4 linked regions of the Cricetulus griseus genome follow. Each later gene encodes a partner of the first gene's protein in a complex. Links are inferred from orthologs where the notes say so. Each region holds a gene or a part of one and is shown on either strand. Other genes may lie near its edges.

Region 1 (7,633 bases):
CACACAGACACACACACACACACACACACACACACACACAATTTAAGCAAAAATCATAAAAAATAAAGGCACTTACTTCACTTGCCATCCTACAATATTAAACAGAATATTCTGTTCAAACTTTCAGTGAAAGAGCATTAAAATAATCTCTCTCTTTCCTCTCTCTCTCTCTCTCTCTCTCTCTCTCTCTCTCTGTGTGTGTGTGTGTGTGTGTGTGTGTGTAGGTGAGTATGCAAGTATGCAAGCACATATCCATGAGTTTGTATAGAAGCTAAGACTTGATGTCAGATGTCTTCCAGAATCACTCTCCACCTTAATTTTTTGAGACTGCATCTCTCTTTAAACCTGGAGCTGTGGATGCCACCAGACTAGCTGGGTAGCAAGCTGTAGGGATCCCCCATCTCCTTCTGTGTTGGAATTACAGGTGCATATCACCATGTCCAGTTGTTACATGGGATACAGGGATCAAACTCAGGTCCTCACACTTGCCTTTTACCAACTGAGCCATCTCCTCTACCACCAAATAACTATTTTTAACTTTTTTTTTTTTTTTTTTTTTTTTTTTTTTGGTTTTTTAGACAGGGTTTCTCTGTGGCTTTGGAGGCTGTCCTGGAACTAGCTCTTGTAGACCAGGCTGGTCTCGAACTCACAGAGATCCGCCTGCCTCTGCCTCCCGAGTGCTGGGATTAAAGGCGTGCACCACCAACGCCCGGCAACTGTTTTTAAAATAAGCATCCAACTAAATTCAACACACCGAACTCTTACAAGGCATAATCAAGAAAGTAGTACAAAGGGCTGCAGAGATAGCTTGGTGGCTAAGAACACTGGCTGTTCTACTCTTCAAGAGGTCCTTAGTTCCATTCCAGCAGCAACACAGTGGCTTACAACCATGTCTAATGGGATCTAATACCCTCTTCTGGTGTGCAGGCTTACATACAGACAAAGTCTCATATACATAAATAAACAACCTTTTATTTAAAAAAAAGAAGTGCAATAGCTAACTAAAATAACATCTAAAATGTAACTTATCCAAAAGCTTCTCACTAGTTCTGTGATTGCATAAAGCTCACAGGAAGATTTCATTCTTATCCATCAAGTTTACACTACAGTCTTCCTTAGTCATCATTTTTTAGAAGAACTTCTCTATCAAAACACACATGACACACACTCACACACTCTCTCTCATTCCTAACTCTCCAATCACAAGCTATCTGAAAGTAAAGCAACAAAAGGAGTCTAAGATATAAAAATATCTGATAATTTTTATTTCAGAAATAAGATTCTGTGAAAATGCCATTAATAATCAACTAGGCACAGCAGGCACTCCTAAGCAAATATGTTTTTATACTGTTAAGATTCTGGACCCAGCGCAATCAGATCAAACATTTAAAATGGACCAAAATCCCCAGCCTCAAACTGAAATACAGAAATGTATTTAATTGCTATAAAGTCTAATAAACCAGTCTTCTTCACAAATGAAAGATGTCTGACCTCTGGGAGCTACGAAGAAGATAATGAATGCACTATTTAATTAGGGGCCCACTGCTAGCTGACTATAATCTATTAATTAGCATTCTCAGTCTCTGTATCTCACTGTACTGTCTTTAAAATTGCACCCTTTGTTTTTTGGACCGATGTTACACAATTTTAGAACTCTGTGGTAATTACAGTGGTTCGGGAAGAATGTCTCTGCCAGCACTGGTGTGCACTGGTATTTAATTAGGGCACGGGGTGGACCAGATAAGGCGGTGCTCACCCTCTTCAGCACATAATGGTTTTCTTGGCATGAAAAACCTGTGGACTGTTTCTTTTCCAGAAAAATTGTAAGTACCCATAATTGTCTTCTCAAAAGATTCAATATTTTGCCTTTGAATGTAGTGTAATAATTGGAGAAAGGGTACTGCACTGGATTTCTCTACCAAGTCCCATACCCTAAAGCACAGACATAAGAAAAAACATGCCTAATAACTTTTTTCCTCAATAAATTAGACATTTCCAAGTCATTTGACAATAAAACTACCTTACTGGCCATTACATTTTCAGAAAGGTACATTGATGAGTAGGCAATTCAATAACAGTATCTTTGGTTAACACCAAATCTGCTTTAAATTTATATACTAAGAGAGAGACAGACTGAGAGACAACGAATCTACTCTTGAAAAGGCTGGTGGTCAGGCAAGCTAACATAAATCTAGCATTTAGGGGGTGGAGGCAGAAGAGCTCCAAGCCAGCCTAAGCTACATACGGAAGTGGGGGAGGAATGCTGAATTGTCTTTAATTATTTAAAAACATATTGAACCTTTTATTCATTTATTTTAGTGAACCAGTGAATCTTTTTGTGTTAAGGTTACTTACAAATATATGTGTGAGGGGTTCCTTACAGGGGCAGAGATGACTCAAATGTAACTCAAGTGTCATCAAAAAGTCCACTCCAATATAGTTGATGACTCATGAAATTGCAACCTTGAAGCACTCTGAACAATCTGAAGGCAGCAAGACAGGTCCAAGAATCTCTTCTACATGCTAGGAAACTGCTCTTCCACTGAACATATAGCTGTCCTGTGTTGGGTTGGTTTTAATTTTGAGATAATGTCTCACAATACAGCCCCAAGATAGCCCTGAATTCACTATGTAGCCAAGGCAGTACTCAAAAAAAAAAAAAAAAAATTTTATTTGGTTTTTCAAGACAGGGTTTCTCTGTGGCTTTGGAGGCTGTCCTGGAACTAGCTCTTGTAGACCAGGCTGCTCTAGAACTCACAGAGATTCGACTGCCTCTGCCTCCCAAATGTTGGGATTAAAGGCGTGCGCCACCAATGTTTGGTGTAAGATTCTGTTTGTTTTAATTTAGGTGTATGTGAGTTTTGCTTGAACATACCTGTGGAACATGTACAGGACCAAATCTAAAAAAGACTAAGAAAGTAGGAATAGAATTCTGAAGTAAAAAGGAGAAATAAAAAATAAAGGAACAAAGATGGGGGAAATCTAAGACAGGAAGGGAAGAGAATTCCTTGTTTTATTTATATACGTGGATTCAGCCCATAAAGATAAATGTACAAATGAAACTAACCTGGTTTTCTTCCTGCACAACTCGGTACTGCTCCTTCCAAATGGTGATTTTGGAAGCTTCATCTTTTCTCAAGGCTCGCTCTTTCTTCAGCTCTGGACTCCAAAAGGTCTTGATGCTATTCATCGAAGAACTTAATTTGCTTTCCTTTACTTCCACATCCTTCCTCAAGAGATCATTTTCTCTTAATACTTCCTTTAGCTGTGTCTGCAGATCCATGATGGTGTTATCTCTTGCCTGACGAAGAGAGTGAGGTACAGTGGATGCCATACTAACAGGAGGGAGGTGATGTTCTCCAAATGCTATGGTATCGCTAGCAACCCCGCTGCTTGCTATATTGGGGCTACTGCCCATCGCAGTCATCCTAACACCATAAGGCAGGCGTCCCCCAGAACGGCCAAGTGTCATGGTGCTTTTAGGTGTTTCTGAACCCATGTTTTCATGGTCACTTAGATACATAGGGCCAGATGTAGCATAGGCAGCATTTAAGGACTGTATATTCTCCATTGAAAGGGTTTTCCCACTGCCACCTCCAACACTGTTTCCAGAACTCCCTCCTGTACTATTTGTTCGCCGATGACCTAATCGAGGAGATCGAGGAAGCCTCGGTGATCGCCCAGGACTCTGGCTGCTTGGTTCCACTTTCCCTACTGATCGAGCACTTCCATACATGGTTGCAGGGTGAACTTAGGCGCCAAAGATGTTGTAAAGCAGAAAATAACAATGCAATTCTGTGAGGTTTCTCTATGGCTATAAAGTCAGCTTAAGGCTACCAGAAATAGCAGGTCACACCAGCTGTCCAATCTTGAAGAAATACCTTATGCCATATCTGTAATGAAAAGATCACACATTAAACCCCCAATAATAAATATTTCCCATCTCAGAAATGTTCTATTACCTTTATTTGGGAAAGAATCTACTTTCATTAAGTATTCTCATGGCTTTAAAATCAGACAACCCATAATGTGATGTTTTCTATCTGAAAATGGGAGAGTATCAACTGATAATTACAAAGTGACACATCTGAATAACAGAACTCAGACTATTATATAAAATCAAAGTATAAATATCAATACTTGGTTACAATATCAGAACTAATAAAAGAACTCAATGCATTAGTCAGACATAAAATCAATATATAAATATTAACACCACATATTATCAAAAGTCATAACAGCTAAACATACTAGTATGATACAAGATTGGTATTTAAATACCAACACTTTCATGTACACTGGGAATAACAATTAGAAACTAGCTTTTATGGTTAGGAAGATGGACCAGTGAGTAAAGTGCAGCCATGCAAGGATGAGACCCTGACCTGAGGTCAGATCCCCAAACCCAGGTAGAGCTGTATGCAATAGCATGTATCTGACATGCCAGTATTCCTATGATAAGATAGAAGACAGAGAAGGGAAAATTTCCCAAAGTTCAGGGACAAGCTAAAGAACAGGAGACCTTGTTTCAAACAAGGTAAAAGCCAGGACCAACACCTAAGAGTGACCACAGCAAACACTCAAACATGTATAACACACACACACACACACACACACACACACACACACACAGAAGGAGGGGGAGCTGGGAGAAGAAAATGAACTTTTAATTTAAAAATAAGAAACTCGGGCTGGGGATATAGCTCCATTGGAAACAAGATTTGCCCAGCATGAACAAAGCTCTGGGCTTGAGCCCCAGCACTACATAAAACGGATGTTGTAGCATACACATGCCAGTAATTTCAGCACAAGAGGAAGAAAGAGCAGAGTCAAGGTCATCCTCACTACAAAGTTGAGTTTGAAGCCAAACTCACATATATGAGACCCTGACTCAAAAAACAGTCTTATTAACAGCAACAAAGCTATAAAAGTACTTTAAACATAAGAAAAATCTTCAAGCATTTAAAACTCTACTGGAAGACATGAAATAATACCTCAAGAATAAGTAAATAAATAAAAAGGTTATCCATGCTCCCAGACGAGAAGACAAATGCTGTGAAGGACTAGTCCTTCCCCCAGCTCGTTAGCACAATCTCGGGGGTGGCTGACTCTAAAATTCAGATGGAGGACTGAAAGTACAAGAATAGCCCAACTAGACAGGCATGGTGGAGCAGAGCAGGCAGAGGCAGTAGAATCACCACACATTTGAAGTCCATGTGGTTTATAAGCCAAACACCAAAACAGCAGCCAAGGCCACATACTGAAACCAGTCTCAAAAAAACAAAAAGCCATAAGACCGCTTCATGTGTAAAGGTGCTTGCCACATGTGGTGGCTTGAATGAGAATGGCCCCCTCAAATTCCTGTGCTTGTAGAGCCATAGGTTGATGTAAGTTATCTTCTTCAATTACTCTCTTGCTTACATACATAAGGATCTCTCACTTAAACCCAGAGCTCACAGATTTGGCTAGTCTAGCTAAGCAGTCTATTCCAGGGATTGTCTGCCTCTGTCTTCAGAGTTCTGGGATTACAGGCAGGTAGGCAACTCCTGGATGCTGAGAATTCAAACACTGGTCCTCACATTTGCATAGCAAGCACTCTGCTAAGCCATTTTGCTAGTCCCTTCTGAAACTTTTGTAATTTGATTGTGTAGTTCTCAAGTATGAACTCTGAAGAAGACGCTGTGTATCAATATCAAAAGTATAAAAAATACCCGGGCCAGTGAAGACACTTCATCAAGTGAAGGTAATTTCCACCAAGCCCAACAATTTGAGTTCAATCCAAGGGATATGGTGGAAAGAGAGAAATGACCCCAAGTTATCGCTAATGGCTACACACAAAATAAAAAAGCATCTGGGAGGCTGAGGCAGGAGAACTGCAAATTCAAGGCCAGTATAGGGTACAAGACAGGACCTTGTCTAACAAAATAAGAAAGAGCATGTAGTATTTTCATGTTTTTAAAAAAAAAAAAAAAGTCCCGCTATAAACTAAAACATTAAATAAGGACCATTCAGCACTAATAATTTTCATAGTAATCAATGACCAATGACAGAGGTCTGAACTCTGATTGCTGTAGCGTGAATAATAAAAACCCAGAGACGGACATTGGGATTAAAGCTGAAGATCAGAGAAGCAAATCGCCAGCCACTAGAGAGTTCTCATCTCTACCAGTGATCAGACCAAAGGGGCGATCCTGTCCTCTGATTTCTTCTCCAAACACACTGCTCCTCCGACTGCCCCTGACTACACTGCTGCACAGACTCACTGAGACTGCAGACTGAATACACTCTGAGACCCTGTGCTCCTATCTTATATACCTCTCTAGTGCTGGGATTAAAGGCATGCACCATCACTGCCTAGCTTCTATGGCTAACTAGTGTGGCTGCTAGGATTAAAGGTGTGTGCCACCACTGTCTGGCCTCTATGGCTGTGACTAGCTTTGCATTCTGATCTTCAGGCAAGCTTTATTAGATCATAAAATATCACCACAGATTGCTAGTATTTCTGTGAACAGTAGGCTTTAAAAAAGAGAAAAGAAACTTAAACATTAAAGAATACATCTTTGCTCCATCTTTTGCATGTAACGTAGTAAAACTAGGTTTGTTCAAGCCATGTGCTTGATTATGCAAGCTTAGCCTGACTCTTCAGTGTCTACTGGAAACTGGAACTACAGTACACTGGCTAAGGCAGCACCGCCACAAGGGCATAGCAACTTGAAAGAGGGTCTCTGGTAGGAGCAGCAAAATATGGAATTAAAGGTGCAATCAAATTTGCCATTGTTACCACTTCTCACTTTTACAGAAGGGTTAGTAACTCTGTTACAAATCAAGTGGATTACAGGTTTTAATAATTCTTATCAGTTAATCAAGTTAATTGTAAGTTCTATCAACATTCTCACCATGACAAATACATTGTCAAACAGATACTTAGGAGTAAACGGTGGTATTAATCAGGGCCCCAGACTTCTATCAACAATCTGCCACTCAGCTCAAGGGCGGCAAGCCCCCCTTAACACCAGGCCTCACTTATACCATGATCTTTTAGAATGCTAAGATATTCAAATTGCAACTTTAGTTATCTTGCATTTTATACCAAGTCTCACCCTAAATAAAATAAACCACGAGCATGGTGTAGTGTGATAAGGGCATGTCATCCCAGCTACTTGATTGCATAGAAAGGTGATGAGAGATGTTCTTGCCATTTTCCCATCTCAGAGAGAGCTGTTCGTCTTCATCTCTGATAATTCGAAGCACACTAACACATAGAGTATGGTCAAGCCCAGACCTGATAAGATGAGCCTTTTTTTTTTGGTTTTTTGAGACAGGGTTTCTCTGTGTAGCTTTGGAGGCTGTCCTGGCACTCGCTCTGGAGACCAGGTTGGCCTCAAACTCACAGAGATCAGCCTGCCTCTGCCTCCTAAGTGCTGGGATTAAAGGCGTGCACCACCAACACCGGCTATGATGAGCTCTTTATTATTAGGCAATTTATCATTTATGGCAGCCAAAGTGCTGGTCCTCTGGACTTTGTGCCACTCATCAATGGATAACAGAAACAAAAATGTGTAATTGTCAGCTTGGGGACATTAATCACACAGAGTCTTATTGTATGCCTGGCCTTAGCTTGGCTTGATTCTTG
Region 2 (8,134 bases), on another chromosome or scaffold:
CTTGAGAGGCTAAGGCAGGATTATCAAAGGTATAGGCTAGCCTGGGCTACATGGCAAGACCTGTATATATGGATGTATGTGAACATTTGTATCTACATATAGATGCAATACTACTGGAGTGAAGAGACAAACACAAGAGTATAAAAACAACCTTCCAAGCTGGGAAGATGGCTCGGTGGTTAAAGTACACAAGTACCCACATAAAAGCCAGGTGTGGCAGCCATGTCTGTAAGGTAGAGAAGGGCTGGAAAGATGATTAAACATATGGGTAAGAGTACATGTTGCTCTTGTAGAGGACCAGTTTCAGTTTCCAACACCCACATGGTAGTTCACAACTGTCTGGAACTCCAGCTCCAGAGAATCCAATTCTTATCTCTATGTATGGTACACATACAAACACTCAGGCACACATACACATACACACAAGATAAAATAAATACTAAAAAACTAGTAAGGTTGAGAGCAGTCAAGGAAGACACCCAACATGGCTTCAGCACATCTGTGCATAAGTGTATGAGCACCTGCATAAAAACATATGTACATACAAGAATACACACCAACCTGTACTCATACACAAAAAAATTAATTAAAAAAAATCTAGCCAGGCATGGTTGTGCATGTCCTTAATCCTAGTACTTAGGAGGCAGAAGCAGGCCAATTTCTATGAGTTTGGGGCCAGCCTGACTTACATAGTGAATTCCAAGACAGCCACGGCTATGTAGAAAGCCCCTGTCCCAAAACAAACAAACAAACAAAAACAAAAACTCTTCTATACAGTTATGCACTCAGAATGTATAAAGAACTTCAAATTAGAAACAGACAATCCAATTAACAAACAAAAAAAGGGTCCCTGCACTGCAGGTGGCTGCAGTCCACCTCTCCACTTCGAACTTTGGAGTACATAACAATGGCCTCTCATACTGCTGGTGGCCGTGTGGTTGTACCAACTGTCACCACAGCCACTTTTGGCAGTAATTCCTGAGGCTGCTGTCACTACAATTCCACTCTTTAGAATACTCCAGCAGAAACACACACATCTAGTTCTGCACCTCCCCAAATGCAAAGGCAGCCTGGGAAGTTTAAGACAGTGGCAGCCTCAGGGGTCCTAACTGCATCAAGAACAAGTAGGGCCCATCTACACAGCACACTTCGGTGAAAGCAAAGGTGGGTCTCACAGAGTCCAGGGAAGAGTCAAAACAAAACATACACAATTCCTAAAGAAAGTCAAGCATATGCAAAGGAACCAATAGTGAAGAACTGGGCCACCTAAGAATAGGGAACAGTCACTGATTGCAGGCAGTAGGAGGGGGTTTTCATAGGAGGTATGGTCCTGTCCATCTCTTGATCCAAGCAGAGCTCCATGAGCATAACTGAACAGCTAGCAAAGGCACATACTTGTGACCTGTGGATCCTCATGCATTCTCCATTGTAAGGACACTGACTGGACACATAGGCCCGTCTGGTCACATTTTTAGCCATCAGAGGACCCTGATTCCAGGAAGGGAATGGTCTGAAATAAGTTTACTCTATAACACTAGACTCAGGTCAGCTCTGACATAACTGTGGATACCAGCATGTCCTAATTCAATGAGGCACTGCAGAGCAGCAGCCAGCTTCACCTGGCAACAGGCTCCCTAGCAAGTTCCATGCTTGCTGCCTGAAACCCACACTGCCCACAACACGGTCAGTTCTGTGACCCCAGTGCCTGTTCTTTCCAAAAACCTAAGCGTTGGCCAAACACTGCTGCAACAAACACAATTGCAAAGCAGAGCAATTGGAACTCACAGCATCTTAAAAACCTCTTCAACACGTGACAACAAAATCTGACCTAATTAACCTGCTAATTCCTAAGACTCCAGGAAGAAATGATTCTCTAGCCCCCAAACAAAAACTCCCAGCACACAACACTAATACCAAATTGTTTCTAAAAAGGACATTCAAACGTTTAGTCCAATCTTACAGAAATGACTACAGCCAAGAGATGCATCAAGGCAGTGATTATTCACTTGCGAACTGATCTCTGCAACCCCACCGTGAGAGCATAAGTGCAGCTTCCTTGAGCACCATGAAGATACCGATCACGAATGAACAAAGTGGGCTCGTCAGCACAAAGCTAAGCAACCCCTGTTCCATGTGCCTTTCACCTTGGGTTTTGCAGGCTATCCCACTTTCTCCTTCCCCTACCACTGACTCTGGAAGAGAAGGCTCTAGCACACCAATTCAGATGTAATACTAAAGATACACAAGGTGTTTCAAGCTCTGAAAGTCTCATCTACCCAGGAAGAGGAGGAGCCTTGGGATTCAATGTTCAATCATTTCTCCCCTGAAACAAAGTTTCATTACAGCTCTTGTAATGTTCAAGAAAGCCTCTGAAGACTTTACCAATGGAATCAGTCCTAGTTATCCACAAGATTTCCTCAGGAAATTGGAAATCCACAAGACACAAACCAGGATTAAGACATAAAATCCCAGAGATCCACTCCTCACAGGTCCACAGCAGGCATGGACAAGTCTAAGACACAGAATGGGAGACACTACATAGCTCATTGCTTCACAGCCCCAGTCAAAGCATAGCCAGGTACTCTGGTGGTGCATACCTTTAATCCCAGCACTGAGGAGGCAGAGACAGGCTGATCTCTGAGTTCAAGGCCATCCTGGTCTACAGTGTGAGTTCTAGGTAAGCCTAGGCTACACAGAGAAACCAAACCAAACAAAACAGCAACAACAAAAACCCAACTCTGAAACACATTCCCAAATCTAGGCAGTTACCCAAAAAGGCACAACAGTGCAGCAGTGTGGTCACATGGCTTTGGAGAATACCCATTTATTCCCAAACTGAATTCCATGGGAATTTTACCTGTGCTTAGAAAACACCAGAAACCGGGCGTTGGTGGCGCATGCCTTTAATTCCAGCACTTGGGAGCCAAAGGCAGGTGGATCTCTGTGAGTTCAAGGCCAGCCTGGTCTCCAGAGCGAGTGCCAGGATAGGCTCCAAAGCTACACAGAGAAACTCTGTCTCGAAAAACAAAAACAAAACAAAACAAAACAAAAACCCACCAGAAACATCACTTTCCTAGTGGTTACACAAAACAGTCAGCAAGCTAACACATTAACAAGATCATCCCACAGACATTTAGTGGCAGACACCTTGGTTTCAGTTTGGTTGGCATACCTGTGGAAGCGCAGTGTTGAGCTGCCTCTGCAAGGAATCTCTTTCATGACCAACCTCATGCAATTTCCCCTGGGTTAACGCCAGTGTTTCTTGTGTCTCTCTCAGAGTGTCCAGAAGGCGGTCTCGTTCTTCCAGCATGGAGACCATGAGCTGCTCAAAATGTGAATCAGCATCTGGCTGTGAAGGGGAGCCTGACCCACGGCTTCCACCTCCTCCTGGGGGGCCTTCCGCTTCACTAATGGTCGGCATCACCTCGCACATCATCTTGAAACAGGAAAGATGCAGACAATAGTCAGTAGGTGCAGAACAAGCCTGCAGCTTTCCGAGCACCACCTGTGGCTGATGAGCAAATGCTGACAAGTCCCACACTGTCAGAGCTGCTCACCTTGGATGCACACACTATGGCAAGTAGCATGCACGGACCAACAGGAAGAGCAGACTGGGAGATGGATGCCACAGTCCCAGGAGCAAGGGGAGCTGGAATGCTCACCTCTCCCACCCAGGGCAAATCAGCGGAGTCTGTTGAAAATCCGCACTCTCAGCAGCTGAAGACAGTGGGCTTCTGTTAACTTATTTTGTTCTTCTCCAGGAAGAGACATTCAAAACATATTCCCTCAACACCAGAAGACGGCTGAGAACTGACAAGCACCAGCGCTATGGACCAAGGCATCTTCCAGGAATGTGTGCAGTCAGCTCCTGGGAAGGACTGCCGGGCTCCCTGACTTGTGGGGCTGGATATTTGGTGAGCAGCGGAAAAAGCAACTGGATTGGCTCTTTAAGGCCTGGACAGAGGTGTTTTTGCAAAGGCCTGCTGCTGTGCAACGGTTGGTCAGCCAAGCTAACTTACATAAGTTTACAGTCAAAGAGGGGGCAAAAGAAAAGAGAGAGTTTCCACACTGAGAATCTAGGAAGTCGGGACAGCAAGACTAGATAATAAAGAAGGAGAAGAGAAAGGTGAGATGGCACTAGAGATTGCCAGGGCACAGGGCGGGGGATGAAGGGGATGTCCTGCAGGTGCACCTGATCATGCCGGGATGATCCTGCCATCGAGGACTCCGCTGGTCCTGCCTGGCTCAATTGACCCCAGTCTCACTGCCCCCAACCTCGCTGACCCTGGCCAATTTAAGCTGACTCAGACCTAACTGATATCAACCCGCCTTGGCTGACCCCGGCTCGGCCAGGCTAATCCCAATCTTGCTGACCCCCCTCCCGCTGACCACCTCCCGCTGACCCCGCCGACTCGGCCCCGCCGACCCCGGCCCGCCACCCTGCGCGGCCCGCTCCGCCCGCCCTTACCTTGGCCGGCGGGCGCGGCTCCGGGGCTACGCGGCAGCCTTCGGGCGGCGGCCGGCTGCGGGCCGACCCACGCAGCCCCGCAGCTGCGTCCTCGCCCGGCCCCCGGGTCCGCCGCCCCGCTCGTCACGAAGGCCGGCCCGCCGCCGCGGGACACTGGCGAGCGCAGAGGACCGGGCCCGGCGCGTCGCCGGCGTCAACGTGCCTGACGTCCGGCGCGTCGGCGCGAGCGTCAGCACCGCCCCCTGAGGGAGAGACGGCCACGGAGCTATGCGCATGCGCCAGCTCCGCGGTAGTGGGAGGGCGGCCTTTCCCGAACGTCAATTGGCTATTTCTCTCTTTAGCCGCACCCTCCACTCCGCCCCCGAGCCAGGCCAAGCCCCGCCCACCGGTGGATTCACAGGTAAAGAACTATGGCAAGTGCGCGCAGTTTTCAGTCCTGCTGTTTTCCGTGCTGTCACTCCAGCGCGTGCGCTGACGTCACCCGAACGCCCACTCTCAGACCCAAGAGTTCTGCTGAGTCTCCGAGTCGCGCCGGGCCATCTGCAGGACCGAAAAATGATGACAGAGACCGGGCAAGGTGCCTGCCTGGAGCTTATGGCCTAGCCTTCAGAAGTCTGAGGCAGGAGGATTGCTTCGAGTTGGAGTCCCTGTCTCTAAAAATACAAAGGCGACTGCCGTCAACCCTGACGACTGAGTTCGATCTCTGAGACCCAGAAGAACTGCATTAAATAGATGCAGTTCTAGGAACCCACGTGGTCCTGAATGTTATCCTCTGACCTGTACACGCCTTGTGACTCTCATGCATGCACACACATGCACACACACACACACACACACACACACACACACACACACACACACACACAAATGAGTAAGCAAATGTAAAAACAAAACACAAAATTTAAGGGCTCAGCCACCCTTGCAAGTATGAGAACCTCCATTCCACTGCCCGAACCCACATAAAATAAAAAGCCAGCCAGTCTTGATGCTGCAAGCCTTTATTCCCAGCATTCAGGAAGCAGAGGCAAGGTGATCTCTGTGAGTTCCAGGCCCACCTGGTCTACATACTGAGTTCCAAACCAGCCAGGCAGCCAGGGATAGTGAGATCGCTTGGAGAGAGAGGGGGGGGGGTCTTCATAGAGCTGCACGGAGAAGATCCCATCCCACTGCTTGCTAATGCTCAAGAGTTTTCCCAAGCTTTCTGGCTGTGGAAATCTCGGCTCCTGATGCTTTGCACCCATTCACTATAGACCATATATCTGCAGAGATGGCTGTGAGGAACAGAGACTACAGGACCATTGCCCCCTCTGAATCACAGAGACATGGCTGACATTCAAGGTGTTTTGTTTGTTTGTTTGGATTTTTATCCCATTTATTTGTTTATGTTGTGTGTATCTATGTGTCTAAGAGTACGTCTGCATAAGTACATGACTCAACTTGAATAGAGGCCAGAGGACAACATGCAGTAGCCATTTCCCTCTTTCAACCACGTGAGTCCCAAGGATCAAATTTAGGTCATAAGGCTTGGTAGCAAGTGCCCTTGCCTGCTGAACCATCTCACTGGCCTGCATTTTATTTTAGAGGCAAGGGCTCTCTGAGACAGGCTAGTGTACAGCTCTCCATGCTTCCGTCTCAGCCTCACAAGCGCTGGGATGACAGGTATATGCTATCACACATACCATCACCTCAGGTCCCTCTTTTTATTGATCTTTATGTCATGTGTTTGGGTGATGTTTGCCTGAATGCATATATGTGTACTGTGTGCATGTTTGATGCATGCAGAGACCATAAGTGTTTGTTGGAGCCCATGGAACTGGAGTTACATATAGTTGCAAGCTGCCATGCAGGCGCCAGTAATGCCCTTAACCACTGAACCATCTCTCCAGCCCCACCCTTCTAGCACTCCGTTTTTGAGAAATGGTTTCATGTAGCCCAGGCTGGCTGCAAATTCACTATGCAGCGGAGGCTAGCCTTGAACTCCTGATAAATCTCACAAGTGTTTGAGGATAACCAGTCACCACAACATGTGGCTTCTTATTCCACAGCTGAGGAGTCAGGTCCAATGAGCTGCTGAAACAAAAAGGTCCATAGCCTGAGAGTCTTAAGTCCTGATGCAGTTCCTTCTGCCTGGATTGGACAATTTATTGAAACCGTGCTCAAGAGTAAGCCTGCTTTTCCTTGTTGGGAATTTGGTCTGTTTGGGTTGATCTGAGAACACAGATACCTCTGGATGGAGTGATAATGGAACCAAATTTGGGGCTGAAAAGGAAACTCAGTCAGTAAAGGACTTGCTGAACAAGGGTGAGGACATGAGTTCCATCCTCAGGACTCCCACAAAACAAACAAACAAACAAACAAACAAAACAAAACAAAACAAACAAACAAACAAAAAAAGGATGTGGCAGTGCATCCTTGTAATCCCAGCCTGAGGAAGTGGAGACATAGGATCCCTGGGGCTCACTGGCCAGCCAGTCTAAAATAGACAAGTCCCAAGTTCAGCTGGAGAACAAGGTGGAAGGCATTCCTGAGGACGACACATGTACATACACATACAGAAGTCACATTTGCAGAACAACATCCAAAGAATCCTGCACCCACAAGTTCTCCTATGCTCTTCTAGACATATGACACTCAGAGAGATCAGAAATCAAATGCATTGCCCCCAGTAGATAATAAAGTGTAGAATCCAAGACTTGAGCCTCAGCTCTCTAGGACCATGGCCACTTCCTTCCTTCCTTCCTTCCTTCCTTCCTTCCTTCCTTCCTTTATTAGTGTTTTTTTTTCTTGAGACATAGTCTCACTATGTAGCCCTGGCTAACCTGGAACTCACTATGTAGTCCAGGCTGGCCTCAAACTCCCAGAGAGCTGCTTGGCTCTGCATCCCAAGTGCTGGGATTAAGGTGTGTGACATCACACCCAGCTGTGACCTATATTCTTGGTACTACATAGTGAGAGTTCTCTAGTCCTCACAGCATGGGTCATTAATAGGACCCTCACTGCCCCTCAAGGCTTCATGAGTTGACATAATCCTCAGATCCCAGTATAGGGCCAGTTGTAGGGAAGAACCTGTTTGGAGGGTTTCAGCCTGCACCAACATGTGTCTTTATGTTAGAAAAGCAAACCATCATGACTGGAGAGACAGCTCAGAGGTTAAGAGCACCAGCTGCTCTTCTAGAGGACCTGAGTTGAATTCCTATCACCCACATACAAGCTCACAACCATGTGTAACTCCAAACCCAGGGGATTTGATGCCCTCTTCTGACATCCAAGAATACCATGCACACATGTGGTACACAGACATACATGCAGGCGAAACACCCCTACACATTAAATAATGGAAGGGGGGAGGTTTCGAGACAAGGTTTTTCTGTGTAGCCCTGGCTGTCCTGGAACTTGTTCTATAGACCAGATTGACCTTGAACTCAAAGATCTGCCTGCCTCTGCCTCCCAAGTGGTGGGACTTAATTAAGGTGTGCACCACCACACCCAGCTAAATAAAAGTTTAATTTAGAGAGAGAGAGAGAGAGAGAGAGAGAGAGAGAGAGAGAGAGAGAGCCATCACGTGGTGCAGCTTGCCAGTATTGTGTTCAGCAGACAGAGCCATCTAGTAAAAAACACCCCCATCACAGGGACCAGAGAGGTAGCCCAGCCTATTAGAGATGTCAG
Region 3 (7,633 bases), about 22 Mb from region 1:
AGTGAAGTGTGCAGCATGAATATGTCCTCAGAGAAGGCTGCAGAGTGGTGGCTATAGCTGGGGAAAGAGGGTAGAAAAGGAGAAGCTGAGGGGCTTTGGCTTTGGGATGGTGGCGGTGTTTGGGGAGTAGATGGGGTAGTAATGATTCAGAGAAGTGCTAAATGCCATTGAGTTATTTACTTTAAAATGTTAATTTTTAGCCAGGTGGTGGTAGTGTGTGCCTTTAATCCCTTTAGGAATTTGAGGCCAGTCTGGTCTACAGAGTTAGTTCCAGTGTAGACAAAGAAACTATGTCTCCAAAAACAACAACAGCAACAAAAAAGTCAGTGGAGAGATGGCTCAGTGGTTAAGAGCAGTGGCTGCTTCTCAGAGGTCCTGAGTTCAATTCGTAGAGACCACAGAGTGGTTTGCAGCCCTCTGTAACTACAGGCCCATGGGATTCAGTGCTCTCTTGTGGTGTGCAGGTGTCCATACAGATAAAAGAGCCATATACTAAAATGCATGCATACATAAAATATAATGATAAATTTTTCGGCCAAGTCGCCTGAGCCCTGCCGCCACGTGGGCACCCCAAATAACACACAGTCTTACATTAATTACAGTGCTGCTGGCCAATGACTAGGATTTCTTATCTGCTATCTCTGTCTTAAGTATCAACCATAATTATTAATCTATATATTTTATAAAGCCTTATCTGATCGAGGACGCCAGTGGCATGCATCCTCTCTTGTCGGGCTCACATGGTGGCTCCCAGAGAAGAGAGGAGGAGGAAGATTGTGATTTCTTGCTTGTCCCTGCTTATAATCTGAGTCTTTCTGCTATGTCACTTCCTGCCTGGATCACAAGAATTCCCTTTACTGCATTTCCCAGACTCATCCTCGACTCCTAGTCCTGCCTAACTTGCTTCCCTATTGGTCAACAGTGCTTTATTTATCAACCAGTAAGACAAACATATACACAGAAGGACTTCCCTCATCATAAATATTTTTACGTTAATTTTTTCTAAGCAGAAGCAGGTGGATCTCTGTGAGTCTATAGAGTGAGACCCTGTCTGAAAAAAAAAGTTAATTATGAATTCTGAACCCATCACCCAGCTCGCAAACTCCAATGGTCCCAACACCCTTTTCTGATCTATACGCACGCAGGCACGCACGCACGCACGCAGGCACGCACGCACGCACGCATGGGCTTCCAACTTGGTGGTTGAAAGAGTCCACTTCCAGCGTTAGGAGGGTGGGACAATCATGTAAAATACAGAAAACTTTTCCAGAAGGTTCCATCTATTTAACAGAATTTTAGCTGCCCACTAGAGAGCTCTGCTGTTCACTTCACAACTGCTGCTCAGAGCCTGGACACACTAGGACAGCAGAGCAGAGTGTACCAGGCTTTCTTTTTGGGGCCACCAACCAGCTCAAGTCACAATACCGAGACTTATTATTAGCTTTGAATGCTCAGTCTTAGCTCAGATCCTTTCTGGATAGCTCTTTTAACTTAAACTAACCCGTTTCTCTTTATCTACCTTTTACCTTGGGCTGTTCACCTTTCGTACTTCTGGGTACCTATGTTCACTGCTTCTCCATGTCTGTCTGTCTTCTGCCCTGGACATCTCCCTCGTTCTATTCTTCTTCTTCTCTCATTCTTTTTTTTTTTTTTTTTTTTTTCTGAGCCTAGCTTTCTCTTCCCATTTATTCTCTTTGTCAGCCAGCCCAGCCTATACTTTCTCGTGCCTGGTTTTGGCCTTTCAGCTTTTTATTAGGCCAATCAGGTGCCTTAGGCGGGCAAAGTGAAACAAATGCAACACATCTTTTCATAATTAAACAAATGCAGCAGAAAAAATGCAACGCATCTTTGCTCAGTTAAAATAATATTTCACAGCAGCAGAAGCCTGTGAGGATCTTTGTGGAAGCTGGAAACTATGGGAAGGACCATCCTGAGGGCTCAGCTGAGGGCTACACTTGAAACTATAGACCAGTCTCAGCATGGTGGTTAGTTTGTCTCATCCAGTGCTGACTCAGTTGTAACATGCAAAGATTGAGATCCATAAGCAGCTGAGTTACATAAAAATTAGTTAGCTCCTGGTTTGTTTCCTTTTTCAAATATTTTTCATTTATATGCTTTTATATGTAATATATGTATATATTGTATATATATTTGGTTCTCTGGATTTTCCAAATGCCCTTTGTTTCCCAAACCATTGCTGAAGTAATCAGGGAACTGGAAATGATACAGATTATTACTTCAAAAGACTCCTCACGGCACTCAGAGCCCAGAGGCTGGCAGACCATGGTCTCAAGACCAGCTGCAAGTTTACCCAAGTTATATTGCAACTCATTATGCCTATTTATTTACATACTGCCTAAAGTGATTTCACACAACAGTGAAATTTTCACACAACGGTGGCTGTGTGGAGTAACTGTGATGGAGACTGTATGATTCACAAGTCAGAAATACACATTTCCTAGATGGATTTCAAAAACAATTCAGAGAACAGAAACGTGTCCATGAAATATCAGCATGTATCAAGCTATAAATGTGTCATTTAGTGGCATCCAGAGGTGGTAAAACTGTAAAGAAAATAGATGGAATAAGAACCACAGACTTCGACAGAATTTCTAAAAGATAGGGGCTGGGAGTATTGCTTGAAAATGGGATAATGAAGGAGCTTCAAGTGATACGTAAGACTTAAATTATTCTTGGGGGCTGGAGAGATGGCTCAGTGGTAAATTGTGCACTCTGTAAGCCTGAGGACCTGAGTTTAGATCCCCAGCAACTACATAAAAACTGGGCATGGAAACACATGCCTGTCATCCCAGTGCTGAGAGACTGTGGGGACAGGAGTTTCCCTGGGAGTTGTCACCTTGTCTCATCAGTCACTGAGCTCCAGGTTCAGTGAGACTCCATCTCAAAAAATGCAGTGAAGAGAAATAAAAGACACCCAACCTTCAGCCTCCATATACACATGTGAACTCATGTACCTGACATACATACACTGGGACATACAGAGCTTATGTGTAGAACAAGTGCAGACTGCTATTCTGTGGTCTCAGACTTTGACCAGGGCATAAGTATTGGGTAGACATAAAATGAATGTTTTGGGGGGAAAAAGAAGAATGAGGAGGTTAATTTTGGGCAGTTGAGATGGCTCCAGGAGTGAAGGCATTTTGCCATCAAGCCCCATGGCCTAGGTTAAATCCCCAGGGTATTCATGCAGGAAGGCAAGAACAATTCCCACAAGTTGTTGCTGACCTCCACACATGCATGTTGTAGCACATGCACTCCCACACATGTACATAGGCACACATACACATAAGAAATAAATATTTTTTTAGAAGGTCACTGTTGCAGGATCCTGACGGGCATCCCGTGACATTGGAGGAAAGTAGGTGTGGCACCAATACAGGCATTGGGAACAACAAGCTCAGTTTATCCCAGGGAGGGGAGAGTTTTATATACCCCTCAACCTGCCCCAGGGGAGGAGCTGGCATCTGCTGATGTGACTTGGTCACTGTCCAAAGTCCACGTCATCTCTCATCAGACTCGGCTGCTGTTGTCAAGGCCAACTGGCAGACCCAGGCTGGGGGTCAGGAAATACCAACTGCGAATGCTCTAGGCCAGCTGTCAGGCCCATTGAGGCTTAGTTTTCCCACAGTTCACCTCTATATGTTATTAGAAAACTGACCTGTGGATGTTAGTTGGGTGCTTTGATCATCTGTGTGACCAGTTGTTTGTCTCACACACAGCCCTTGTCCATAGGAGCAAGCATGGCATTCTAAGCAGGTCGTCAGCCTGTGTCCCAGGTCTTCCCCTGGGTTCCGATCATCAACCACATTAAGGCCTGCAGTAGGGTGCAAGGCCAGTTCCACCTGACTGTCAGCTCTGAGCGCCTGAGTCCTTCAGATACGGAACCAGCAGTCAGTGGAGACAGCTGTCACTCAGGTCCTTTTCAACCCTTGGTTCAATAAATGATCAAAGGACTTATCAGTGTTGACGTAGCTAATGACTGTGTTGTGCATATAGACTTTCGGTTAATGCAGTCGGTCATCTCTTTGACCCTCTCACCAACTGTGCAAAGAAAAGCAGAGAACAGGAGGTGTTAGAAAAGAAAGGCAAGCAGAAGTGTCTCTCGGTGATACTAGAGCAGGGAGACACCCTTTATGAGCTCAGTGACTGACTCAGAGTCCGAAAAAAAAAAAAAAAAAAAACACCAGTGCCTGAATGTACCTTCCTCTTCTCATTCTTTGAGTGTAAAATGACTGAGTAGGCTCTCCTCGTTGTGTGTTAAGGCACTGCCTGCTTCGTAGACTTGCCTCAGGCTTCTGTCGCTGTGTGGTGATTTAAGGATGCAAACTCATTTATAGCTGTGCACCATAATTGCTAGAAAAGTAAGAATTTGCCAGACGGATTTGGTGCACACCTTTAATCCCAGCACTCGGGAGGCAGAAGCAGGCGGATCTCTGTGAGTTCAAGACTAACCTGGTCTACAAGAGCTAGTTCCAGGATAGGCTCCAAAGCTACACAGAGAAAGTCCTGGGTATGGAATATCTTCACTCCATGTCTTGAAGGAATGAGACAGATAGAACTTAATTGTTTTTAAAGCTGGCTTAAATACTTAAAGTAGCAAATGTCTTGATTGTGGCTGGAGTTAGAGGTGTTCATTGTGTTGCTGTTTATTGCCCAGGCTTCTTTAATATGTCACTTGGCGTTGGGCTCAGTGTGTTACTTCAGTTGTCTGTCCAGTGATGTGGCATTGATTTGAGTCCAACCTCCTGTCCTAGGGATAATGCACCCTAACACCCCATTACCTCTTCATCACCCCTCAGGATAAAGCTCCAACCGACAGCTGCACATTTGGGACCCTGCCTCCCAAGGTTCCAGGACATGATGTCTCCATGGATGACAACCCCTTTGGCACTCGAAAAGCCAGGTCCTCCTTTGGCCGAGGCTTTTTTAAAATCAAAAGTAACAAGAGGACAGCAAGTGCACCAAACCTTGGTAGGTATGGCAAGGGTACCTAGGTCCTGACCTTTCAGACAGAGGGAAAGGCTTGGTTCCACCCATCCTTTGTTCATCTGTGGATACATCTCTCTTTCTCAGACATGAAGGTGATTGCCTTCAGGGGGGATGTTAGCAAAAATGCTTCAGTGGATTTGATTTCCAAGTGTGATGATAAGTCAACTCTTACCCACTCTCTGTGCAGTGAGATAGACGGCAAAATGAGATCGTCCTGACCCTGTGGTGGTCTGTGACTTTGTTAGACAGTCTCCCTCTGTGGTGGTGGGATGAATGAGTCCCCACGGACGACCCTGTGCAGTCTGTGTAGTCTTGGTGCGTGCATGCGTGCGTCCCTCCTATGGGCATTTGCCTTGGAGGGAGGAGTCTGATCTGTTTTCATTTTGTCATCCCTGTGTTCTCTCCATTGGGCTGCATGTGTTGTGTGCGTTGTTGGGATTCCTGAAGATCGTAAACGAAGTGCCAGTGCACCTACCTTAGGTATTGTACCCCTGCATGCCAGCCTTCACCAGTGCTGCACTCTGAGTCCTCTTATCCCCACCCTTGACCTCTGTGATCTCTATCAAGCAAGCTGGCTGCAATCAGAAAACGTAGTCTGTTCCAAAGTATTCCTCCATCTTTGGTGAAAACAGACTCCACAAAGCCTTTGCTTCTGAGTCTACACGCTGTTTTAACCAGTGCTGTCGACACATTGTAAGCAGCCCGGAGAGGCCCTAGAAATGCCCAGCAGTCTGCGTGGTGCAGGGCTGGATTGAGCTGGCATCATACACCCAGCTCTACTCACACATGACTGAACCACCACCCACCAACCCTCTTTCCTCCTCCATGTGCTCATTTTCCCAACCCCTGCCCCTCCCCCCAGAATGTCCGTTGCCAGGCAGGAGCTGACTTACTGCTCTTGGAGGGACATTCTGGACATTATATTACTTGGGCGTTAGGAATATTTAGTGATGACAGCGGTGACTTCACATGGTGTCTGGGGAGTCGACATCAGAGTGCTTTTAAGAGAAGTCCATTCTGTCTCCCTGTGGGGAATAGTATGAAGAAAGCCTTCAAATAAAATAAAATAAAGAAGTACGTTGTGTTCTGAATGAGCTGGGCTAGGAACATTTTCAGGGTACCCATACCCCGTGGCTGTGGTATGAGAGTGCATAGATCCCCCTGGGTTTCCCCAAGGCTGTCACCTTGTATAGATACCAGATTGTTGACACACAAAGGGGCATCATTGTCTTTGGAGCCCGAAGTGTTTACAATGAGCGCTGGCTGCACAGACTAAACTCTTCTTCCAGTTGGACAACTACTCTCAGCTACTCCCATGTCCTTCTAGGGCAGTAGTCAATGCTTGTAGGCCAGTGCTGCTTATTGTAACCTGTCATCACAGCTCTGCTTCATAGAAAACTCAACTTCTGCAATTCCTGAGACTCCTTTCCTGATCTTTTTTTTTTTTTGAACAAGTGTTATTTTCCTTTATAAAATGTAAAATTTCGCCCTTTGGAAAACCACAGCCCCATCTTTGCCTGTGGCTGTTCTTCCAGGAATGGACAGTTGAAGGACCATGCATTGTGTATGTACAGAGGCCTGCAGTGGCCACTGTGGATGCTATTCTTTCAAAGCCAGATTAAGAAAGACCGATTTTATATCTAAAGAAAAACTCACACATACCTACCTAGTCATTGCTCTCTCCCATCCCATATATAATAATAGGCTAGGATTTTCCCCCTCTTGAGGCAGGGTCCCAACTATAGTCTGGTCTGAACTTGAGCTTGACATTTTCTTGCCTTGGCCTCCTGAGTGCTGGGATTCAATGGGAGTGCACCACCATACTGGTGATTCATTTCCTGAGAAAGAATCACAAGTCCTGTGTAACTGATGAGATCTAAATGGCAAAGGAGAAGGGTGTTAAGAAGAAAATGACATAAACAGAAGACTTGCAGGGAAACTGATGGGTTTGATAAGTCCCATGTGTCCGTGGCACTTTAAGCTGGGACTCTGCATAGTCTTCAGGTGTGGTGCTGGATGAGGTTAGGCTCAGAGGTTTTGGTACCTCCTCCTATGAAAATAAAGCCATCCTTCAGCACTGAGCTTAGAACAGGTGAATTTGCCGAGAGCCTGAAGAGGGAGCTAAGCAGAGTCTTGGTGTAAAGTGTAGCAAGTATAGAAGTGGGGGCTACATCAAAGGAGAAACACCCAGGCCACACATCCAAGAGAGAGAGTCATTACCAGAGAGGGAGTGGTGACGTTAGAGGATACAGGAGGCTCGCTGTCCCAAGTACTAGATTGGGCATCATCTCATCATGAATCTTATCATTCAAAAATGTGACAATTCTGAGGCACTTTTTACTTTAAGGAGAGAGTCGCACATTGTAGCCCACGTTTGTCTCGCAATCAGTCCTCCTGTGTCAGCCTCCAGGGTAGGGGATTTACAATGTGTGCACTGCCACACACTTTTACTCTCAAAGGGGTGATTTTAAGCTAATTCACTTTATGCCGGAGAGTAAGCTGTAGAGAACATACACTTACATACATTTTTTATATGAAAGGGTGCTCTCTGTAATCACTGGTTTACAGACCTGGAGAAGAATCCTTAAGGGGCTAAAACCAGGAAGCTTAGTACTTAGTTGTG
Region 4 (8,321 bases), on another chromosome or scaffold:
TATGCTGAAGGGATTTGAAAACATGAACTATCCTTTTTGGGCTATATTTATTTTCAAAAGACAAGAGACACATTCTTCAAATCCTAGGAAATATTTCCAGATACTAAGTTTCTTATTTGAATTACTAAAGTCTCCTATCCTGGCAGGGCATCATGGCAGGAGAAGGGGTAACAAGAATGGCAAGATGGAAGACGAAAATGAAAGGGTTGCTACCTCCCTCTAGCGAAGAGCCTGCAGGGGGCTGATCTTCTAGGAGTCAGTCCTTTCAGAGTTATTCCTAAATGTTTCCATATGCTTCCCTTTGAGATGAACCTCTTGGCTAGTTGCCAACATAAGACCATCCTTTAACAGCATTTGGAGGTCTGACCTCCCCAGGAAAGGCACCCCAAGACCTTTCCTGTATCAAGCAAACCTCCCAGGCATGAGGATCAGAAAGAAGACATATCACCCTGACTTGAATCCATAACCACAGGCCCAGTGTCTAACTCCAGTGACATAAACCAGTTAGTGGATGTTGTCATTTGTGACTGACACAGCCATACAGGCACAACTGATACCCAAAAGCTCACAGATGATAGGCAGGGTGGTTCACGCCTGTGATTTCAGTATCGTGGAGAGTTTGAGGTAAGCCTGGAGAACAAAGTAGGTTCCAGGCCAACCTGGGCTACAGAATGAGCCCTTTCCCTGAAGCAAAGCAACAAAAGATAGACAACAGATGAAAAAAAACTCATTGAGGTAATTCTTTTCTAGAAATGGAGCCATTCAGTAATGTCATACCTATCAAACTCTAGGAAGAAATTAATAATAACTTTATATTGCTACCAAATCTTTAACATTAAGAAAGCAGATGGGATGGTAGAAACTATGCAGGGCAAGCTGTATCGTGAAGCAGAAGTCAGAAAATTTGTTTGGTTCTGTCACTACCAAGTCCTGAGTAAGGCTTGGAACTATGGTTTGAGACAAGTGATTTTTTTTTTTTTTTGAGAAGTTGCCTCACTCTGATATAGTACTCACTGGTGTGAATGAAACCATCCCCACTATATAAATGAACTTGGGAGTGATTAGGAGATGTAGCCTTGGTGAAAGAGGTGTACGGCTGGGGGTGGGCTTTGAGGTCTCAAAAGAACATCCCAAGTTCAGTATGTCTCTCTCTCTCTCTCTCTCTCTCTCTCTCTCTCTCTCTCTCTCTCTCTCTGTCTGCCTTCTCCCTGTAGATCAGGATGAGAAGCTACTCCTCCAAGTGTCTTACCTATCACCTTCCCACCACGATATGAACTAACCCCCTAATTAAATGCTTTCTTTTATCAGAGTAGCTGTGGTCCTGGTGTCTCTTCACAGCAATGGAACAGTAACTAAGACAATAGGCTGGCCTTGAACTCATAGCAATCCTCCTACCTCTGCCTCTTCAATCATGAGGTTACAGATGGGAATCTACCAAGCTGCAAATAAGACCTCAAGTATTTTGTTTGTTTGTGTGAGATAGGGTCTGATTTGGTCCAGGCTAGCTTTAAGCTTGTCATGTAGTCTGGTATGACCTTGAACTCCCAATCTTCCAGTAATTATATACCACTGCCCCTGCTTCTTTTGTGATTCTGGGAACCAAACCTAGGGCTTCATTCATGCCAGGCAAGCATGTTACATCCCAGCCTGGGAAATTTTCTAAGGTTCCTTTTACTCCCAGAATTAATTTGCCCAGCTTGCCCCAAACAATCAAGCTTGAATTGTCTTCAGATTTCTAATCTAAGCTTGATACAATTGAATGTGCTGTATATACCCATCCATCAGTTTATAGATCTCTCCCACCTACCCACCCACCCACCAATTGCTCCTAAGCAAGCTCATTTGCATAGATGCCAGGCATCTTCCCCCACACACAACACACTCAGGAGCTTCTCCTTTTCCCTTCTGTCTAAGATAACCCTATTCATTCATGTGCTCTGATCCTGATACACAGAGCAGAGAGCAAAGGAGGAGAAGCTGAGATGCTCTGTTTTGTACCTGCATTCAAAGGCAGCATCTGCTGTGTCTGTAGGACCATCTGTTGCTTACTTTGACATGGAAAAGATAGTGCAGGCCTCAGAAGTGGTGTCACAGGTCACACACACCCAGACATATGTTCCATAGTCAACCAGGCTTACATCATTGCCCTCATTCAGGAGTGTATTTTCTTATGAAGAATGGTATTACTAAACTCTCACAAAGGATCCAGTCCAGTTGTTTTTTTTGTTTTTTTGGTTTTTTTTTTTTTGTTATTTTGTTTTTAAATCTGGCTTGCCTAAACATCAATAAAATTCTCTAATCTCAGGTTCTAACTAGAGCGGTGTCTTTCACTAACTCGATCAAGGTCTTACTAGTCTTTTATAGGCATATCACCTATAAAGTGAGAACTGAGCTTAGTGATCACCCAGGCTCACTTGTGTTTAAACTCAACTTTAAGCCAATTCAAAAGCATCAAGGAAACCCAACAAGTTCTTCCATTCCAACAGTATATTAAGACTCTTAATGCCGAGAACAGGAGGATCCACTGCAGGTAAAAAGGCTTCTGGGACATGGTCTGTGTTGAGCAACAAGAGTTAAGTAAATTTTGTGAGGATCCAAATTAAATTAAGATTCCTAATTTGCTAACATCTGGCTGACCTGGGGAAATGCTCTAGAACAGGGATTGGGCCAGACAGTTGTTTGTGTTCTAGACATTGCAGGGTATTTAACAGATCTCTATTCAAAGGACTCTGGTTGCATATTCCTATCCTCAGCTATGATAATCAAAATACACTGTGCAGCATTCCCTTCAGACTGTATGCCACCTCCTATTCCTGAGAACTACTGCTAAAATACATTGCAGGGCTCTAAGGCATCACTCAGAAGGTGTTTGTTTTTCAAATGGATGGCATTCCTGCATCTAATAAGTAAGCACAGAGAGATTTAGCGACACATTATAAAGCACAGGTATTCTTGGGGAATGTGTTAAGCTCCTGTCTTTCCCTGTCACCTGTGGCACTACCTCTTTCCCAATGTCTGCAATCTAGCATCCTGTAGGGTCAATTGTCATAACCACAACCCCAGCTGCTTTTAAAAATTATGCAAAAACTAATCAAGACCCCAGACTTGATTTCTTCATTGTACTCCACAACCCATCATGCTTAGAGTCTTCAACACTGATGAAAGGAGTGAAAACCAGAGTCTGATCAAATCAACTTTGGCTTTTTCTTCTGTCTCCTGAGAATGCTTGCAAAAGTAGTTAACTTTGGCCAGAGTTGTTGAAGACATTTGTTAAACCTTTCCCTATCTTCTTATCTAGCATTTCTTGCTTGCCCCAAAAGGATCAAGCAGACATCTCTGCAGTCATTCTCACCCCAAAAGAACAGCAGCTGCCAGCTGCAGAGAACCAGCCTGAAAATTGACAATGATGACGGCTCTTAACCAAACATCTCATTTTGCCGTTTGTGAGAGAGCTAGGATTTGCAAACTTCCCTGCCTCAGGAGTAAAAGCTACATTAACTGAAAGCAAAAACTCAACTCTCCTCCCTTTGTCAAAGTTTGGAGACCCTGTACCGAGTTTCTTAATTATGCGTTATGTTTAAGTTACACAATGAATTTATCAGGAAAAATAAATAAATAAAAACCTTTTAAACAACTAAGTCCGAGATAGGAAAAGGGAACCTCGAAAGATACAACTGCTACTTTTCAGAGAATCTTAGCTCTTTATTCAAATAAATATTTACACAATTGAAGCCAACGGCACCAGGCATATTCTGTTAAAATAGTGGGCTACTCTCAAGGTTTATTTATCCCAAATCCAACTACTCTGTTGCTATCCTACCAGGAACAAAGAATTCAAGTGATCCAAGGGCAAAAGTTTAACCCTGTGGAACTGTGAACCATATTTGGAGGCTCCCAGCTAAATTCAAACGTTTGAAGCCCAAAGAAAAAAATCTCAAACGTCCAAATTAAGCCCACGTTGGGAGCCTAGTTACAAGCATCATAGTTGAAAATTTACATCTGTAACTTACACATTCATATTCTGGAAGGAAATGCGGCTGGCAGATATTTATACTAACGGACTCCACATTTTATGTCTCTTCTAGACCCCTCACAGCTGCGCCGGGCTGTGACTAGTTGTGCATCCCAAAGCTCGAGTTATTTCAGAACCACAAAAGGAAGACTTCCAGGGAAGAGGGCTGGGCCGAGCTAAAGGATTTCCAGCCCTAGCCGGTCCACATAAAAGGCTGCAGGAGTCTTCCCTCTTTTAAGTGAGAAAGGTAAAAGAGGAACCGCTGGAAGGAGGTTGGAATTGTAAAGCTTTTCCAAACAGGAAATCCCAATCCGGGAAGGGACAGCCCGTCAGCCTTTTAATTTCCTGGTGGTGGCGGGAGTTAGCCAGGTCCTTGGGGCTTCAAGTGCTGATAGCTGGGGCAAAGTTACTGAGCGCACCAAGAACAGTTCAACTGCTCCTCGCAGTGTAGGGAGCTTGTGAAACAGGGTCGAAAGGATCCCATGATTTGGAGCTGCCATCACTAAGGGCGAAGGGAACACTATACCATCTACGTTTAGGGAAACTATAGCTGAATCGCAATCAAGGACTCCTGGTGAGAATCTGGGTCCGGAGGCTCACCCTGCAGCCTCACTCTGGAAACAAAGTACATCTAGAAGCCTAATTCAAAAAGATCCTCTCGGAACCCCATATTCCTCAGGATCCAGCTGTGGACCTTCTCTTTTCCTGGGGTCTAGATCTCTGCTTAAGCAAGTTTCCGCGAAAGTTGCCTTAGAGACCCTTAATTAAATCCTGCCTTTTCGCCTCAACCACTCTAGAGGCGTCACCGTACTGAGCACCCCTTCCCCACGAGCCCTCTACCCGACATCGTCATGCATAAGGAGGGCAGAGTATCCTAGGGTGGTACGGTTCGGGCTCTCCAGACCCCTGCCCAGGCTTTTGTCCCTACAGCCTGCAAGGGACGCAAAGAAAACCTGCGCCCAAGGCGCCCACTCACCAGCTCATCTTTCTCTGTAGTCGCAGCTTTCTTCACAGGTCCCGCTGCCCTTGGGCCTGGCCCTCGCTCCCGCCCTCCTTCCCTGCGGTCCTAGTCCGGGTTCCCGCAGCCACCGCAGCCGCCGCAGCCGCCACAGCCTTGCAGCCAGCCAGTCCCTGAGGCCGCGCACCGCGCACTCTGGGCGCCCCTCCCGGTGGGGGCGGCCACCGCCTCCTCTCCGCCCCCGACCTCCCCAGCGCGACCGGCGGCTACCAACTCGAGTGCGGGGGACGCTGTGTCCCCAGGCAGCCGCCAGGGTTCGCAAAAGCAGCTCAGTCCGCTCCTCCAGGACCACGGTAGCCCTCTACTCACCTAGGGTGACGAGGCGGCTGGGTGCCCGTGGCCACCTAAGGCAGACACACCGCTTTGCTCCGTGCCACACTCAGCGGCGCCCCTCGGACCACGATGGTGGACTCCACCAAGCTCGGTCCCTGGTCCCGACCCCCTCCCGAATCACAGCAGCGGGTCCTTGGAGTTCCAGCTGTGAAGTCAGGGCGCCTTCCGGCTCCTAGGCAGCTAAGTTGCTCCTGCTTTTAGTGCTGCTGAAGTGCCTGGCTACTCATCACCCTGCCCCACCTTCTCAAAGCTGTGTTCGCAGCAATGTAGTAGAAACCTTTGTGACTGGATTTTTCTTTTCTTTTCTTTTTTTAAAAGAAGGTGGAAATGGGACAGGAGAACACACGTCCTCGGGTGGAGGTTTCTTCCCCATGATGAAGTTTCTGCTCTGGGAAACTCCAGGGGACCGCACCTCTGCCACACACTGTTCTCCCCGGGGCAGGTTTACCTGATGCGTCAGGAAAGCAGTTGTGCCAAACAGCAGGGCGACGCCTGGGGTAAGGGCAGGAATGAGAAGACTTTAAAACTCTGTGACACCGATTTCCTTGGAATGGTGTCTCATAAACGGTTCGATGTTTTCCATAAATTTAACATAACCAGTGAAAACTATACTAATGTGGACTTTTTTCACTATTGCTTCCTTGGGAGGCTAGGAAATGGACTGGGGAGGACGACCCACAGTCCATCTTGACACGCCCAGATGGGATTGCCTGCAAAGTTCTGGCCCAGTGGGGTTACAGTGATGAAAGACAACAACCCTGGAGGAACGCACAGCATAAGGAAAGCGCAAGGACCAGCAAGCTCTTTAATTAATAGCAACGTAGCCTGGGACAGTTGCTACCAGCAAGGATGTCTCTAAGGTTGGTACAACAGAGGTACCGGTGGTGCTGGTGCACAGCAAGGCAGCCTCTGCTTCATCTATGCAAAATGCCTGGAGCTGTGAGTAAACTCATGTAACAAAATGCTTATTTAAAATGTTGCATTTGTGTAAGTAAAAGTCTGACTTTTAAAATTAAATATATTTTACTATGTATATGTATGTGTGTTTTTGTGCCTGTATGTGCACGTGAATGGAGGGGGGCGGGGCAGAAACAACGTGGGTTTTCACAGCCAAACTTGATCCTCTACAAGAGTGGTACAGCTCTTAGCAGATTAACAACCTTGCCAGCCCCTAAAGTTTGACTTGTAATTTCTGCTGTAGCCATTCCTATAAAAAATGGTTTGCATTTTTGAGTGTTCTCCGCCCACTACCCCGGTAGGATTTGCACCACAATAATAAATTCACGAGTTACACACTGTCCTTCCCCTCATCTCCATCAACTTCAAATCCCTTACCAAATCTCAATAAAAATAAAGACATTCTTGATTCTGCTTACCTTCCAATTATATTACTGCTTAAGTATAACAAAACACCTTCAAGAAATGAGAAACGCTGTCTCCACTTTCTGCCTTATCACACTCCAGTCAGAAGTTGCCTTTATTGTGTCCCCTTGAGCTTGAACCACTCAAATGAAAGATTGCTCCTTCACAGGTATGGTGGAACATGACAATAATCCCAGCGCTTGAGAAGCTGATGCAAGAGGATCAAGAATTCCAGGCAAGCTTGGGCCTCATAACAAGTTGGGACCAGCCTGAGATACATAGTGAAGACCTGACTCAAAACACCAAAGGCTGACTATTGAAACCAAAATGGCAGTTCCTCAGAAAACTGTGAATCCATTTACCATAAAATCCAGCGATGCCACTCTTGGGCACATAACTAAAGGACACTCCATCCTACCACAGAGATACTTGCTCAGCTATGTTCATTGCAGCATTATTCATAATAGCCAGAAACTGGAAACAACCTAGATGTCCTCAACCAATGAATGAATAAAGAAAATGTGGTACATTTATACAATGCAGTATTACTCAGATGCTAAAACAAAACAAAACAAAAACATTTGCAGGCAAATGGATGGAACCAGAAAACAAAAATCACCCTGAGTGAGGTAACCCAGACCCAGAAAGACAAACATAGTATGTACTCACTCATAAGTGAATATTAGCTGTTAAAAATGATAATCAAACTATAGCCCACAGCTCCAGAGAGGTTAGGCAAAGAGGACGACTCTATGGGAGATGCATGGATCTCCCTGGGAAGGGGCAATAGAATAGATTTTGCAGGTGTACTGGAGGCGGGTGTAGATGGGAAGGGAGGGATCAGTTGTGTGTGTGAGTGGGGGGTACCACCAATGGCTGGCCATGTAATTCAGCATAAGCAAATTCAAGCTCTGATTTCTTCCCCAAGGAGTTGGGAGAAGCTCATCTCACTCCTTAGAAGCAATGACCAGTTGATCAGTAGTTCCTTTTTGTATTCTTGTTTCCTTTGGCCTAGCCAAGAGTACTCAGAGTTTAAATTTGGGATCTATTTTCAATCTATTGCTTCCAGTAGTGCTGTCTTTCTGCTCCATAGAACTAAATCCCAGCCTGTATTGACTATTTGAAAATTTTACCTCCAGACCAACCCACTCCCTGGAATCTCAGGCCCCTGGCAGCTGCCCAGATGGATGCCTACTGACCTCATAGTTACCATTGTCAACACTGATTCCTTGAAATGTTTTCCTGTTTCTAACTACTCTTTTCCAACTGAAGTCACCCCATGTGGGGTCTAAAACCTTATGTCAGCCTTGAACTTAATTTTTCTCCAACCCATCAGGAAGTCTTTTCTGCTTTTTCTAAACCAAAAACAGAACTCAACTACTTTCTGCCTCACTGTCCATCTCAGATCTCATCTGCCATACTGTCTTGACTTTACCCTTGCTCTGTCTTTGCTCTCTTACAGAGTATTGTCAACACAGACACCAGGGTGATCATTGTAAAACATTAGGCCACACAATCTACTCCTTTCCTTATAATTCCACTGTGACCCTATTCAGTCCAGGCAAAAGCCATGTGGTGCCCTTTAGGAGAATCTGC

Evidence for each region.
Region 2: Erc1 (region 1) and Ppfia1 share a complex: the UniProt entries of both Homo sapiens proteins name them as parts of the cortical microtubule stabilization complex. The link is inferred for Cricetulus griseus from reciprocal best matches to the Homo sapiens genes ERC1 and PPFIA1.
Region 3: Erc1 (region 1) and Ppfibp1 share a complex: the UniProt entries of both Homo sapiens proteins name them as parts of the cortical microtubule stabilization complex. The link is inferred for Cricetulus griseus from reciprocal best matches to the Homo sapiens genes ERC1 and PPFIBP1.
Region 4: Erc1 (region 1) and Phldb2 share a complex: the UniProt entries of both Homo sapiens proteins name them as parts of the cortical microtubule stabilization complex. The link is inferred for Cricetulus griseus from reciprocal best matches to the Homo sapiens genes ERC1 and PHLDB2.

The regions. Positions count from the first base shown.
Region 1 is NC_048601.1:25,025,463-25,033,095, reverse strand, and holds part of Erc1 (ELKS/Rab6-interacting/CAST family member 1), read right to left. Parts: intron 3,894-7,633; 5' UTR 3,737-3,893; coding exon 3,068-3,736; intron 1-3,067. UniProt on the Homo sapiens protein: Regulatory subunit of the IKK complex. Probably recruits IkappaBalpha/NFKBIA to the complex. May be involved in the organization of the cytomatrix at the nerve terminals active zone (CAZ) which regulates neurotransmitter release.
Region 2 is NC_048596.1:56,799,636-56,807,769, reverse strand, and holds the start of Ppfia1 (liprin-alpha-1), read right to left. Parts: upstream 4,671-8,134; 5' UTR 4,469-4,670; intron 3,581-4,468; exon of another isoform or gene 3,558-3,580; intron 3,437-3,557; coding exon 3,173-3,436; intron 1-3,172. UniProt on the Homo sapiens protein: May regulate the disassembly of focal adhesions. May localize receptor-like tyrosine phosphatases type 2A at specific sites on the plasma membrane, possibly regulating their interaction with the extracellular environment and their association with substrates.
Region 3 is NC_048601.1:2,690,946-2,698,578, reverse strand, and holds part of Ppfibp1 (liprin-beta-1), read left to right. Parts: intron 1-4,820; coding exon 4,821-4,992; intron 4,993-5,457; coding exon 5,458-5,490; intron 5,491-7,633. UniProt on the Homo sapiens protein: May regulate the disassembly of focal adhesions. Did not bind receptor-like tyrosine phosphatases type 2A.
Region 4 is NC_048597.1:44,755,755-44,764,075, reverse strand, and holds the start of Phldb2 (pleckstrin homology-like domain family B member 2), read right to left. Parts: upstream 5,359-8,321; 5' UTR 5,340-5,358; exon of another isoform or gene 5,304-5,339; intron 5,174-5,303; exon of another isoform or gene 4,989-5,173; intron 1-4,988. UniProt on the Homo sapiens protein: Seems to be involved in the assembly of the postsynaptic apparatus. May play a role in acetyl-choline receptor (AChR) aggregation in the postsynaptic membrane.